2 linked regions of the Elephas maximus indicus genome follow. Each later gene encodes a partner of the first gene's protein in a complex. Links are inferred from orthologs where the notes say so. Each region holds a gene or a part of one and is shown on either strand. Other genes may lie near its edges.

Region 1 (7,361 bases):
GGTTTCCAAGGAACAGCTGGTAGATTCAAACTGTCGATCTTTTGGTCAGCAGCAGAGCTCTTAACCACTGCACCACCAGGGCTCCCCTCATAGGGATACAAGTACCAAATTAAATGATGTAAAAACATGCTTGAGAACAGTAAAAAAAAAAAAAAAAAAAGGATATGCATATAAATGCCTGCTATGATTATAACATCTTCAAATTCCCACATTTCACTAAAAGAACAAATTTTGCTCCAAATGTTTAGCAGTAGAAACCGAATGGCTTATGGTTGCTGAGTTGGCATTATATACTTTAAATCTGAACAAGTCTCCAGGAACTTTTCCATCTAAAGTTCCTTCTAGGGAACCAGAGTAAGATGTTAAAACTTAAGTATCTACGTTTCAGTATCTTCACAAGTGGAGCATACACCTGTTTTCACTACATCCTTCTCGAGGACAGGGATAGTATCTTAGCCAACACTGTAGCGGCAGTAACTGGCAAAGAGACTAGCTCTGTGCTTAATAAATATTTCCAGAATAAAAGTTAAAATCATATGTGAGGTGGAAAGCGTTCTGGCCCTGAGACTTACTCTCATGTTATAGATAGCCTTCTAAAAGTCCCTCAGGCTCCTGAGCCTTCATTTCCCTTTAAAAGCCTACAACGGAAATCAGTAATGCCCCTTTTATATAATGGCAGACATCCACCTAGAATACTGCAAATAAGGCCTCTGAGTCCCAGGCCTATGAGTAGCAAAAAGAAATAAAAATTTTTGCTCCTTAAAGCATACGATATATACAGCACCATGGCCATCAGAATACTTAGCACAGGTTTCTGAGGCTGGCCGTAAGGACTTTCATAGTTCAGTGATGAGAATTAAAACGGATATACATTTTTTGGAAATTTAAATATACCAAGAGGCTTAAGAATCTTGAACAAAGTATGACATGTTTGCTAGATGTAATTTGTGATGGAAATTAATTTTATGAAGTGAAAAAGTCAGCATAAAAATTACATATGAAATATAATTTGAATTATTTAAAAACAAGTATGCATTAGAAGAAAAACTGGAAGGAAATGCACTGAAATGTTAGCAGTGTTTGTGTTTGGGTGATGAGACTATGACATTTTCTTTTCTCCATATGCTAAATTGTACTTAATGAGAATCCACTACTTTTACAAAGAAACATTACGTTAAAAAAAAAACAATGGGAAGGAGCACTTCTAAGAGGTAAGGAAATGGCAGTTAGTTGCCATTTAATAAGTGCTATAATTAAAATTTTACCCTAGCAAGGAACATTCTAAGTGATCACAAACGATAACTAAGTCATAGAAAATCTGTGCTGGAGGGACATCTGCCTGATTCTAACATTTGGTAGGTGTAAAAAAAAAATAAAATTGTAGGATGCTTTATACAGCTTACAAAGTGCTTTCCCAAATGTCACCTCACCTTTCTTTCAGATAACCCTGCTAAATAAGTACATTTTAAAGTTTAGAAAACTGAGGGTCACTGAGATAATATGCTTTAATAACAACACTGCTGTTGTTAAAAATGCCATCAATTCCCCATGCACAATGGGGTCAGGCCGCTATGATTCACGGGGCTTTCATTGGCTGATTTTTTGGAAGTAGGTTGCCAAGCCTTTCTTCCTAGTCTGTCTCAGTCTGAAAGCTCCGCTGAAACCTATTCAGCATCACAGGAACCCGTTAAACCTCCAGGACAGATGGGCAGTGGCTGCACTGGAGGTGAAGCGGCAGGAAATTGAACCCAGGTCTAAATGAAGCCCAACAATCTTGTAAATGATGGATTAATTGTGCCCATTTTATAGATGAGAAGACTGAAAGGCAGAGGTTAAGTGACCTACCCACAATCATACAGCTAAGAGTCAGTGCTCTGACACCACGCCATGGATGTGAAAAAGGTGTCTTGAGTTACAGCCAACTTCACAGGGCCCTTCAGCGGCAGAGTTGAGCCTATGATCCGTGCTGTGCTCTCTCCAACACAATGGTCTCTTCACTTAGGGTTTAAGACTTACTTAATCTGACAACCAATATGAGGGTCCAGAGGCGAAGGGACTAGGCTCAGAAATACTCTAAAACTAATATTGGTGGAGAACCTCAGAAGGCAAAGCAGGGACTAACCACATAGTAAAGAGTACAAGAACAAGTCTTGCATACATCAAGGGTTAACCTAGTAATTGAACACACACGAAAGTCAGAGGAAACATACTCCCTACCTCAGGAGCCGGGACAGCAATAAAAGCCACAACTGTATCAACAGTCTCTGCACCTTATACTCGTGTAGCTCAATACAGTTTCCAGAGCGTCTTTTATGGTCTTCATCTCACTGAATCCTCCCAACAGCCCGTGAGGTGGGCTGGGCAGGGATCAGTCCCACTTTACAGATGCTGGAAGTAACGCAGTAGTGCACCGGGCAGGCAGAAAAGCAATGAGTTTAAGAGTTACAGGGTTGACACCTGGGGGCGTGGGTAGGGACCTCGACAGAAACTGAGAAGAACCTGGAGAGCCTCAGGCCACCGCCGAGGACCTGCGGCGGCGACAAGGTCCAGGTTGAGGCCCTGGTCCTGTTGCCCACCGAGGCTTGAGGGGTTGAAGGCCGGCCCAGCCGCCTCGCTACTCACGTTGGACCAGACGGTCCCCGGTAAAGGTGGAGGAGCAGCTGGTGACCAGCGCACAGGGGACGCCCGCGGCCATGGCTGCGCTCTGGAGCCGGTTCCGTCCAGGAGCCGCTTCCGCCTTGGGCTGTACCACAGCCGCCGCCGTGCGGGGGAGACACTCAAGGAAGGGCGCCATCTCGGAACGGATAGGCCGCCCCGGCTCCTTCCTCGCTCCCCTCTTCCGCTCCCGCGGTAGAATAGGCCGGGCCGCGCATAGCGTTGCCATGGGGACACACGCCCCTGGCCGAAGGTTTCAGCGCCTGGAGATGGCGCCTCCGGGGGGGAGGTTACTCTCCCCGGCCCTGACCATGGCTCAGGAGACTGAAAACTACGACCCCATTGGATCCATCTTAATCCAGGTGGGAAATGGGCCTCTCCCGGCCCCGCCCAGCTAAGACACCTGGGAGCGAGGCCCAGCAGCGCCGCTTCGCGCGCGTCCACTCGTTTGGGGCGCCGCTCCCAGACTGCCTTCAGTCCTCGAGGGCCTCAGCCCCTGAGAGAACTCCCAAATATGCCCACCCAGACCTCGTCCAGGAGCCCAGCACCACCCCTCAGCCCCGTGCCATACACTGGAGGTCGCGTTCCACAAACTCTGCTCCTGGTAAAACCCCAAGGCCGTACACTGTAGATCACCTCACCCGGAACGTTTACAGCAAAAAAAAAAATCCATCTTGCACTGAGACACCGTTTACAAGTATTATGTTCTGAAAAATTTGAAGCCATGACGTCAAATTTCAGAATTTTCTGAAATGGTTAAGGCATTTTATTGTTTGTTTGTTCGTTTTTCACATTTACCTATCCCAGTTCTAAAATGCATCCACATGCATAACGATTTTTAACTCTTAGATTTAGCTCCATTTGAATAAGGCTTGAAGTGATTTGCCTACGATCATTCTATCAGGATTCTCAGATCTTCAACGGGTTTACTTGTTCTTCCAGGCAGGATTTTGGTCTCTTACCTCCCATCTGGGAGAAACTTTCCTAAATTCACCTTTTCCAAAGTACGAGCCTTGGGACTCAACCATTTCATAGACTTCCCGATTGTGAATCATGCCCAAATTCTCTTACCTCACTCTTATCATCCTCTCTTTCACCCAACATCCCCTATAAACCCGGTCCCCATTTTTACAGACTCCAAACAGTTGAAACACTAATGGAAACTCTTGTCCAGAAACAGCCAGTTCTTCCCCATGAAGTATACTTCATGTTGACTACAGGAACAATTAACTTTCTCTTTAGTTTCCTCTATTCCTCCAGGCCTAGAACATCTCTAAAAAAGAGACAAGAATCTGGGGGAGAATCTTCCAGACCTTCTGCAGGCCAGTTTCACAGCTTCCCTTGAGATAATTGTATTTCCCAGGGCTGCTCCCCTTGTGGTTTGGTATTGTGTACAAGAGTGCTCTAGCTGAAAAGCCAGAAGCCTTTTCACTTCAGAATGGAATCCAGAGGGAGCTGTTTGGTCAGCCCAGGATACATTACAGTAATCAATGTCTGTTGACACTGAATTGTAAAATGCAACAGAGGAGCTAAGTAAGAATAGTCACGTCCATGTGGCTCAGTGCCCCCACTTACGTAAAAAGGTTACTCAGGACTTGGAAAGTGAAGGCCCATGTAAAGAAAGAGAGCCTATGTGTTAGCCTGATTAATTGAGGCTGATCTCTGCATACAGTGTAGAATTCTTTCTGGTAATACATAGAATGTGTATAATGAGAAAATATTGGAAGACTTTCCCCTACCCTCCCAAGGAATCCTGAGTTTTTGTGAGCATACCGCATCACTCTCAGAAGGGGCAGATTACACTTCTACCTGGAGCTGTAATTGATTTCCTTCAAGCAGGCTGACAACAAGCAGTAGTTCTAGTGGAAAGTGTGCTTGTTTGGGAGTCAGAGTACTAAGGTTAGACCCCTGGCTCTGGCACTCCGCAGCTGGGTAGGCCTCAATTTCCTTTTCTGTAGGATACATAGCTTGGATTAGACTCATTTCTTACTCTAAATTGACCCAATTTCTCCAAAGCTATAAAACGGGCTTCCTTTACCATTAACCTAGGCAGTCAAATTGTTTCTGGCAAATGTATATATACAAGTTGTTGTATGCCATCAAGTCAATTTCGACTCATAAGGGCCCTACATGACAGAGTAAAATGGCCCATAGGGTTTCCTAGGCTGTAATTGTTATGGGAGCAGATTGCCAAGTCTTTTTTCCTGTGAAGCCACTGGGTGGGTTTGAACCACCGACTTTTGGTTAGGAGCCAAGCACTTAACTATTGTGTCACCAGCATTCTTTATATATACAAATAATTGTAAATCACAGGTACTTTAAATCTCCACTTGCTTCACCCTAATATGGTTTATTAGGTCTGTGTTTCAGTTAAATAACTCTTTAGACCAGTGGTTCTCCAGATGTGGTTCCAGCACCAGTATCATCCACACCAGCTAGGAACTTGTGGGAAATGCAGATTCTCAGGCCCCACCCCAGACCTGTGGAATCAGGAACTCTGGGAGTGGGACCCAGGAATCTGTACATGCTCTTCAGATAATTCTGATGCACACTCAAGTTTGAGAACCACTACTTTAGATGGCATTGTAAAATATAAACTGTAATATAATTTCAAAGGAAAATTGCAGTAATCAAAGCTAACAAAGTACTTAAACCGTGTATCATGCAGTATTTTAAGTGCTGTAAATACTGTATTTTAACTCCTTTAACCCCTACAACAACCTTGTCAGCTATGTACTATTATTATCATTCCCATGTTATGAAAAGGAAACTGACCAGAGTTGTTATTTGTTCAAGGTAACACAGCTAATAAATGGTGGAGATTGACCCTAGGCAGAAAGCTCCGTTACACTATCCTGCCGTTTGTGAGTAATGTGGGTCACCCCGTATGCATAAAAAATACAAGCATTCTTCTCAAACTTTTTAAATCCATCATTCTTGGCATAAAAAGAAAGTCTTCACTTGCCCCTTTTCAGTCCTCTAAATAGCTAAAGCCTGCCTTTTCCACTACATTTTCACCAGCCTTTGACTTTAAAAAGGAGCCCTGTTGGCGCAATGGTTAAAGCAATTCACTGCCAACTGAAAGGTCAGTAGTTCAAAACCACCAGTGGCTCCACAGGAGAAAGATGTGACAGTCTGCTTCTATAGAGATTTATAGCCTTGGAAACCCACTGTGGTTGACTCGACGGCAGTGGGTTTGATTTGGGTTTAACTTTGTGTATGTTGTTGTTGTGTGCCATCAAGTAGATCTGACTAAAACCAACCCTATATGACAGAATAGAAAAGCCCCATAGAGCTTCCAAGGCTGGTGGGTTCAAATCACCAACCTTTTGGTTAGCAGCCAAGTGCCTAACCGTTCTCCCACTAGGGCTCCTTAACTTTGTACATCAGATGCTTATTAATACATCTTTATTCTGAGAGATAGCATAATGGTTAAGCATGAAGGCTCTGGAATCAGACTGCCTCGATTTGAATAGTTCCACCAATTAACCAGCTGTGTTACCTTGCATGGGTTACTTAACCTCTTTAAACCTCAGATTCCCTCATGTATAAAATGGAGATAATATTAACTTCCTCATAGGAGTCTTGTAAAGTATAACATTCATAAATGTTAAACACATAAATATGCGTAATTAGTAGATCTGACCTCTTGCCCTTTTGTATTATTTAGTTTTGTGTAGGTACATTTCTGTGTCTTTTCAAGTTTAGGCTGCTTTTTACTCTTAAGTCCCTAGAAGATGAGGAAGAATTTATTTTAACTTGCCTTTTTAGCCAGAATTACTCCATTCTTAATTGGAACTCTACGTATGGGTGTTGCTATTTGGCCAACAAGGTATGCCTTGTCTCCCTATTACAAGCTGGGTTTTGAATATCTGATTATCCCTAGCTCAGGAGTGGGCCCATAGACACTAGATGACTGGATAATGATCTGCTCCTTAATTCAGTCTCCAGTCATTTCTGTTCTGCTCAAAAATGAATGGAATTGGACTAACATTTACCATTATTTAGAAAAACCTTTTTTTAATTAAAAAAATATTTTTTTATTTAGATGGTACAAATTAATAGTGAAAGCAATACTTTGAGAAAATGTCTGCAAATTGTGTACAAATAAACTCTTTGTGTGACTCATTTTGAAAATATATTCCTTGTATGTTTAGATTTCTGGGATAGTTCTGATGGTGCATATTCTGTTCTACTGTCAGATCGTGTATCAAAGTACTACATATTTTCATTTATAATTCAGGAAATATGATTTCCATTTCTACATAGAGTTCTACTAGGCAGCATTTTGTTAACTACTTAATATCTTATCACTTTCAAGTCTCCCAAGCCTATAATTCAGGCTTTTTATGATTTTATATGGATCTTTCCTCAACTAACCAGAATAGTGTGGTTTTTCTATAGTGATAATAAAAAATAAAAAACACCAAACCTGTTGCCCTCAAGTCGATTCTAACTCATAGTGACCATATAGGACAGAGTAGAACCGCCCCATAGGCTTTCCAAGGAGCGCCTGGTAGATTTGAACTGCCAACCTTCTGGTTAGCAGCCAAACTCTTAACCACTATGCCACCAGCGTTTCCATAATAATCATCACTAAAATCGACTCAACAGCACTGGTTCTGGGATAGTTAAAATAGCCAACATTTCTTGAGAGTCCGGCACTGTATTGAGAACTTTAGATTATTTTATCAGGTCTTAGCAAC
Region 2 (7,821 bases), on another chromosome or scaffold:
TTTATTGTAAGTGTCCCCAAAGCCTTTCAAAATTCATCCTGTAAGTCCTCAGAGGTATCTTCTGGGGAGGGGGGAGGAAGCCCACCCTCCATCTTCCATCAACATTGTCAACCACTTAATAGTAAATTCTTCCAGTAAGCATTTAAGCACACTGGGCTCAGAGCAGTGGGCATCCCTGAAGCACAACAACCCGAAGAGTTGCTTTCCAAGACAGAGATTTCTAAAACAAAGGCAGGACGGAGACGTACACAGCTCATTCAAACTACCATGCAGATACAAGCACTGCCCCGAGATATACCAGGTATGAAATCGGGCTAGACACCTGGATCAGGGACACAAGGAAATCACGAACTCCACCCTGTATGCAGAGCACCATGTGAAACGTCGTACCCATGTTTCCAGTTTTCTAGGGTAAGAGTTGGCAAGAGTCAGGAACACAGCGAAGAAAAGACGGGGAGTCACTAACCAGCCCTCACCAAAGATCCTTGAGTTGCCGGGCAAGCAGGTAGGCCTCATATTCCTTCTACCCCATGACAGAAATAAAGAGGACAGGTGGTAAAACTGGGCACTTAAAAGAGGCAAAGCTGCTCTAAGCACTCTCACATGTATTAGCTCACACAACCTGTTAGAACTCCATAACAGTGATTCTCAAACATTCTGGGCTCCTGTGTTGTTGTGTGCCATCTAGTCAATTCCAGCTCAGGGTGCCTCTATAGGGCAAGGTAGAACTGCCCCATAGGGTTTCCAAGACAATAATCTTTACAGAAGCAGACTACCACATCTTTCTCCCACAGAGCAGCTGGTGGGTTTGAACCACAGACTTTTTGGTTAGCAGCTGAGAGCTTTGACCATTGCACCACCAGGGCTCCTCTGGACTCCTTTACACTCTTCAAAACTGAGGACACCAAAGTCCTTTTGTTTATGTGGGTTATAGTCATTGATATTTAGTGTACTAAAAATTAAAATGGACAAAATTTAAAAAATATGCACTATTTCTAAATAATCTACTACACATGAACATAAATAACATTTTTATGAACACTACGTTTCCAAAGCAAACACACACACACAAAATAATAGCGACAAGCAGGGCACTGACATTGTTGCATATCTCTTCAATGTCTGGCTAGGTAGAAGACGGATTGTCCTATTGGCTTCTGCATTCAATCTGTTGTGCTATCCCAGGTCTCCCGGCCTCATGAAAACTCAGTGCACTCAGTACACTGAGGTGAAAATAAAAGTCAAAGAGGCAATAACGTCTTGGCACTACTATGAAAATAGTTTTAATATTGGGGACTTCCTGAATGGTCTCAAGGATTCCTAGGAGTCCCCAGCCCACACTTTGAGAACCGCTGCCTTACGAGTCAGGAACAATTCTCATCTCCATTTTACAAATGGGCAAACTGAGGTATGGACAGTTCCAGGAACTGTCCAAGGTCATCCTGCTAGAACAGGTCAGTGCAGGCAAAACGCAGGGAGAACAATACCCGACCTCATCTAGATGTTGCAAGGGTTGAATGAAGTAATGAACATGAAAGAGCTGAGCATCCTTTTGATTTACCACAAGCGCTCGATAACATTAAAACCTCCCGTTCAGCTAGGCCGAACGGAAAAGCAAAAGAAACTTCGCACATTTCTGATCAACTGATTCATGACACCAGTGAGAAAAAAAAGACTCCACACCAGCTGCTGTTTCAAGCTTGGTGCCCACAGAATGAAAGCAGCCTTCTGCCAACTCAGAAACTCATGGCCTTTTTCCACCTTCCACTCTGCAAATGACACTGGAGAGCTGGGCACACCTGGGCACACCATCATCTTGTTCCCTGGGAAACGTGAGCAAGCCAAGAGAGCTGCTCCATTATTTACAGCCTCCTTTTTGCCTCATGCTGCATTTACAAGGAACCCTCAGCAAACAGTGGTGCCTAGCCAAGGCTCACCTAGAAGCCACCTCCTGTGGTCTTCTTGTCCAGGTGTCCAGCACGTCACCATTTTCCCTGCCCATCCACTCATAACTCATATGGTCCACCTGCCTCTGCATGTTGTGGGCCACAGAGTGCAAGTCACTTCTGTTCCTGGCATTTAGGAAGTGAGCTCACCTGAGGGAAGTGGGACCATTCTTCCAGCTTCCACCTTGATTCCCACCACCCCCCACACAACACACCTCACCAGCAACCAAAGGGATCTTTTTAGGGTATAGAACAAATAAGGTCAGTTCTCAGGCTAAAATCCTCCCAAGGCTCCCCACCCAGTTGGAATAAAACCCAATTGTTTATCCACACTGAGGAGGTCCTTCATAATCCGGTCCCTGCCTACCTCTGCCCCTGCATGCTCCTCTCTCTCAGGCTAGCCCTTCCCTCGACCTGCAGCACCCCTCTCCGACTTCCCTCCGACAGCTCAAATGTCACCTCCTCAAAGAAGCCCTTCCTGAATTTCCAATCTCTAAGAGTTGCCTCTCTACTCCTCCATCCCATCACCCCGAGGTATCTGAGACTTCAGGGCACTCTTAACTTTCGAAAGTTATCTTTATTTCACTTTCATGTTTACAGGTCTCCCTCCCTCCACACCTTCCTCCTAAGGTGTAAGGTCCAGGGCAGCAAGGGTTCCACCGGGGCCACCGCAACATCCCAGCGCCTGAAACTGCCTGGCACAGACTGTGCGCTCAGCGACCACTGACTGAATGAATGAAGCCGCGGCGCCGGGTGTCCCCGGGACCCGGGCAGGCGCCCCTCGTGCTCCCGCGCGCCGGCACCTTAGGGGGTGCGCGCGTCCCGGGGTGCCGAGCCGGGGCGGGGCGCCCTCCGCGCCCCACCCCGCCGCGCGCCGCAGGTGCCTCCCGTGGGCGCCCACTCCCCGGCCCGGGCTGCAGCTGCCCGCCAGCCCGCTCGCCGCACTCACCATGGTGGCCGGGCCGCGCCCACCCGGCGAGCGGCGAGCGCTGGGACGCGAGCGCGAAAGCGGAGCGCGGGAGGCGGCGCGGCAGGCAGGTGAGCGCCGGCCTCAGACCATGGCCGCTTCCCACAATGCCCTCGGACGGAAAGTTCGCCGGCTCCTCCCCGCGGCTCCCGCCCTCCCGCCCCTCCCATTTCTCTTCCTCCCCCCTCCTCCCTTCCTCTTCCTCCCCGCTTCTTCTTTTCCCTTCTCCCCCTCCTCTCTCTCTTCTCCTGCCTCCTCCCTCTCTCCCCCTGGCGAATTACCCAGGGAGCAAGGTAAGCACGGGTCTGCCTGTGCTTATTTACTAATCGGTAGTGTCCTGGGTAGTGTCCTATAGGGTCGCTGTGAGTCGGAATCGACTCGACGGCACGGGGTACTGGGAGTGACCGATTTCACCGCCGGTTTCATCTTTGATGTGATGAAACCTATGTGAAATTCACTACAAATTAGAAAATAAATACAAAGGTGTGGTGAAACCCATGTGAAATCGGTCACTACAGATTAGTAAGTAAGCACTAATTATCCCATGCTTACCTTGTTTTAGTGGGTAATCTGTCCCTGTCAAAAGCCTCTGTAGAACTCCTCGGTCCCTTCTTTTTTTCCTGGCCTCCCTCCCACCTCCCCTTTCCCTCCTCCCTGCCTCTTCCTCCTCTCCCGCCTGCCAGAGTCCTCCTCTTCCCGTCCTCCTCCCTTCTCCGTCCTCACCCCCCACCTCTCCCCCTCCCCCCTCTCCCCCCCCAGCTCTCTCTGCCCAGCCCTGCACCGGCTGCAGCAGGTGAGGATGCACCTGTTCCCTGCTTCTGCAGCCAGGCCTCCTCTGCAGCCACTCTGGAGGCCCAGACAAGCGAGAGAACTAGGAAGCCCCTAAGGGGAAGCGCCCTAGGCGGCTGCTTTTCTCATTCTACACCGCGAGTGTCATTCATTCATTCCACAAAGATTTACCAAGACATTTCTCTTACTCTTAAGAAAGTATCAGAGGCTGCCTAACACTAAAAAAAAAAAAGAAAAAAAAAAAAGCAGAGGGAAGGAGGGAGGGAGGGAGCAACTGTCAGAGTGAACTAGAAACAATTTCTACCCCACCCTCATTTCATCTTTTTTTTTTCTTTTCTTTTTAATAAAATTTGCAATCCAAGGACATAGGTCATTTTAAACAGGGCCCATTTCAAGAACTGCCCCATAGAGCTTCCAAGGAGCACCTGGTGGATTCAAACTGCTGACCTTTTGGTTAGCAGACATAGCTCTTAAACAAAAACACTACATCACCAGGGTTTCGATATAGAAATTATGAATAAGATTGAGAAGAACGGGAATTCCAGAACATTTAATTGTGCTCATGAGGAATCTTTACATAGATCAGGAGGCAGTTGTTTGAACAGAATAAGAGTATATTGAGTGGTTTAAACTCAGGAAAGGTGTGTGTCAGGGTTGTATCCTTTCACCATACCTATTCAACCTGTATACTGCGCAAATAATCCGAGAAGCTGGACTATATGAAGAAGAATGGAGAATCAGAATTGGAAGAAGACTCATTAACAACCTGCATTATGCAAATAACACAGCCTTACTTGCTGAAAGTGAAGAGGACTTGAAGCATTTACTGATGAAGATCAAAACCACAGTCTTCAGTATGGATTACACCTCAGCATAAAGAAAATGAAAATCCTCACAACTGGACACAACTAGCAACATCATGATAAACAAAGAAAAGATTGAGGTTGTCAAGGATTTCGTTTTACTTGGATCCACAATCAACACCCAGGGAAGCAGCAGTCAAGAAATCAAAAGACGCACTGCATTGGGTGAATCTGCAAAGGACCTCTTTAAAGTGTTGAAAAGCAAAGCTGTCACCTTAAAGACTAAGGTGCACCTGACCCAAGCCATGGTATCTTCAATCGCATCATATGCACGCAAAAGCTGGGCGATGAGTAAGGAAGACCAAAGAAGAATTGACACCTTTGAATTGTGCTGGCGAAGAATATTGAATATACAGTGGACTGCCAAAAGAACGAACAAATCTGTCTTGGAAGAAGTACAACCAGAATGCTCCTTAGATGCAAGAATGGCGAGGCTGCATCTTACATACTTTGGACATGTTGTCCAGAGGGATCAGTCCCAGGAGAAGGACATCATGCTTGGTAAAGTAGAGAGTCAGGGGAAAAGAGGAAGACCCTCAACGAGATGGATTGACACAGTGGCTGCAACAATGGGCTCAGGCTTAGCAACGACTGTGGGCATGGTGCAGAACCAGGCAGTGTTTGGTTCTGTGGTACGTAGAGTCGCTGTGAGTCGGAACTGACACAACGGCACCTAACAACAACAACAACACTTTAAGAGGTCCCACCTAAGATGTTTTGGAATGGAGGCTTGCTTCTGCAACTCTTCTGCTTGTCCTCTAGATTTTTCTTAAGTCATGGGGTTTTTACCTGGGGCTCTAGGAGTCTCCGAACTCCCAAGCTGTAAACAGAGTTTTGGAGTAATGTTATGTTGTTTGGGGCAAGAGAGTCTGTCAGTTTTATCGAATACCAGAAGAGATCCGCCACCCTAAAAATGTTAGGCTGGGTAGTCCCTGCCTGGTTGGTCCCTGGAGGCCAATATCTGTAAAGTCCTGCCCAAAGGGTCTGTTGAAGCTCCTTAACCTGCACTGCGGGCTAGCTCAGGTGACTGTGGATCCACCCCACATCTGTTCCACAAATATTTATCAGCCCTTACTCTGTGCCAAAGGAGCCCTGGTGTCACAATGGTTAAATGCTTGGCTGGCAACCCAAAGATCAGTCTGAAACCACCAGCGGCTCCATGGCAGAAAATCCTGGCCATCTGCTCCGGTCAAGATTTCATCCTAGGAACCCCTACGGGCAGTTCTACCCTGTCCTATAGGGTCTCTATGAGTCAGAAGAGGAGCCGTGGTAGCAAAGGGTTTACACACCCAGCTGCTAACCAAAAGGTCAGAGGTTTGAACCCACTAGCCACTCAGCACGAGAAAGATGAGGCAATCTGCTTCCATAAAGATTACAGCCTTGGACACACTATGGGGCAGTTCTACTCTGTCCTGTGGGGTCACTATGAGTCTGAATAAACTTGACGGGCACAACAGCAGCAACTCTGTGCCAGGCACTACAGGAGGCACGTTGGGGAGACATCTGGGAACAGCCCTACTCCTGGAGCTTATAGTATTTTGTGGGACAATAACTAATAAACAAGTAAATAAGTAATTACAAAGTACCATTGAGTACCAAGAAGCATAGCTTGCTGGAATAGACACCGGAAAGCTCCATATATGTAGCTGGGTGGTCAGGGAAGGTTGCTCCCTAAGGAGGCGACTTGACACCTAAGGTGAGAAACCAGTGCTCTGAAGCATAAAAGGAGAGTGTTCCTTCTCCAAGGACCCCAAAGAAGGCCTCTGTGGCTGGAGTTGTGTGTGAGGAGAAGGGCAGGAGCCAGAAGCAATGGGGCTCACCTGTGTTAAGCTGGCAGGTACACTAAAAGCCCCCAAGAAAGTGAAATCTTTCAACCTCAAAGTTCTGCAAAAGCCCAACTGCCTCCACGTGTCCTCGATTTTAATCCTTTTAGCTTTCACCCCTGGAGGTGTGGCATCCGCTGAGGGAGTTGGAAAAAGAATACCTGACAGTTAAGCCCCAGGCTGAGAGGTGATTTCACCTACTGAAAGATGATCCACAGATTATTGTGAATATAGGAGAGTGGCTTTCTGAACTCCAGAATTCTCCCCCGGGTGGGTTTTCCTAACTTAGTGCCTCCGCTCCCTCAGACCAGGGCCCAGCCTTGTCCCACCCACCTTGCTGATCTTCTGAAAAGCACCACAACTTTGTGCTTTGAGGGTTTTATTACTAATCGTGGTGAGAAAGAGACAGAGGATTACTAAAGGTGAGTTTCAACTCTAAAGAAATCTCAATGCTCTTACCATGATGGTTAAGAAGAGGATTAAAGCGTGAGAAAGTTCCCTCACTGTGTGGCCCCTGATGGGAGGGTTTTAGTGGAGAAGAGGAGAAGGTTTACTTAAAATCTATTAGCATTCTTTGCTTTCCCCCTGGCCTTACTGAGATGGTCAGAGAAGCTCTTGGGGCGTCTTACCTCCATGTTCTTCCCTCCAGCTGCTCACACCTCACCTTGAAATTGCCTGACCCAAAACAAGGAGGCCTACAATGGGCTGGATACTTCACATAGGTTATTTTATCTGGACCTCAAGACAATCTGTTTGCCCACTTTATCTGGGTGCGGCAAACAGTTAATACCCTCACTGCTAACTAGAAGATTGGTGGTTCAGGTCCACCCAGAGGTGCGTCAGAAGAAAGCCCTGGAGATTTACTTTCCAAATATCAGCTGTTGAAAATCCCATGGAGCACAGGTCTACTGTGACACACATGAGCCTGCCATGAGAACTGGAATCGACGCAACAGCAACTGTCGTGTCATTTTTTATCCCCATTATACAGATGTGAGTTGGAGATATAGAGGTTGCAAAACACCAAGGCTCAAACTGATCCTTCCTGAAGCCCCATACCTGGCAGACCCACTCAGGACACGAAAGTGGGTATATTTGTCTCAGTGGAATAACTTGCATCTTTATGTATCGACTTCCCCATTCCCATCTGTTATGGATTGAATTGTGTCCCCTAAAAATGTGTGTCAACTTGGCCAGGCCACGATTGCCCGTATTATGTGGTCGTCCTTCATTCTGTGATCTGATTTAATTTTCCCTTGTGTTGTAAATTCTAACCTCTATGATGTTAATGAGGTGGGATTAGAGGCAGTTATCTTAATGAGTCAGGACTCAATCTAAAGGGTTAGGTTGTACCTTGAGTCAATCTCTTTTAAGATACAAAAAAGAGAAGTGAGCAGAGAGGAGAGGGACCTCATTACCACCAAGCAAGAAGAG

The links. Proteins that work in one complex are often made in the same cells at the same time.
Region 2: the proteins of AAGAB (region 1) and AP1S3 are in contact, whole or in part, in a crystal structure (PDB 9DDT), measured with the Homo sapiens proteins. The link is inferred for Elephas maximus indicus from reciprocal best matches to the Homo sapiens genes AAGAB and AP1S3. Residues at the interface, in NP_078942.3 of Homo sapiens: Asn51, Lys52, Tyr53, Tyr54, Glu108, Val109, Met110, Ile111, Gln128, Ile132, Gly135, Phe136, Glu137, Asp151, Phe153, Pro154, Glu155, Arg161, Gln164, Ala165, Asn167, Ala168, Asn169, Val170, Met176; in NP_001034658.1 of Homo sapiens: Arg10, Gln11, Lys13, Arg15, Gln37, Leu40, Ser41, Arg61, Tyr62, Ala63, Ser64, His85, Val88, Asp92, Phe95, Val98, Glu100, Leu101, Asp102, Ile104, Phe105, Asn106.

The regions. Positions count from the first base shown.
Region 1 is NC_064831.1:57,335,348-57,342,708, forward strand, and holds the start of AAGAB (alpha- and gamma-adaptin-binding protein p34), read right to left. Parts: upstream 2,925-7,361; 5' UTR 2,885-2,924; coding exon 2,623-2,884; intron 1-2,622. Other genes in the region: IQCH (IQ domain-containing protein H), read left to right, coding at 2,925-3,017. UniProt on the Homo sapiens protein: May be involved in endocytic recycling of growth factor receptors such as EGFR.
Region 2 is NC_064824.1:122,530,431-122,538,251, forward strand, and holds the start of AP1S3 (AP-1 complex subunit sigma-3), read right to left. Parts: upstream 3,019-7,821; 5' UTR 2,899-3,018; coding exon 2,896-2,898; intron 1-2,895. UniProt on the Homo sapiens protein: Subunit of clathrin-associated adaptor protein complex 1 that plays a role in protein sorting in the late-Golgi/trans-Golgi network (TGN) and/or endosomes.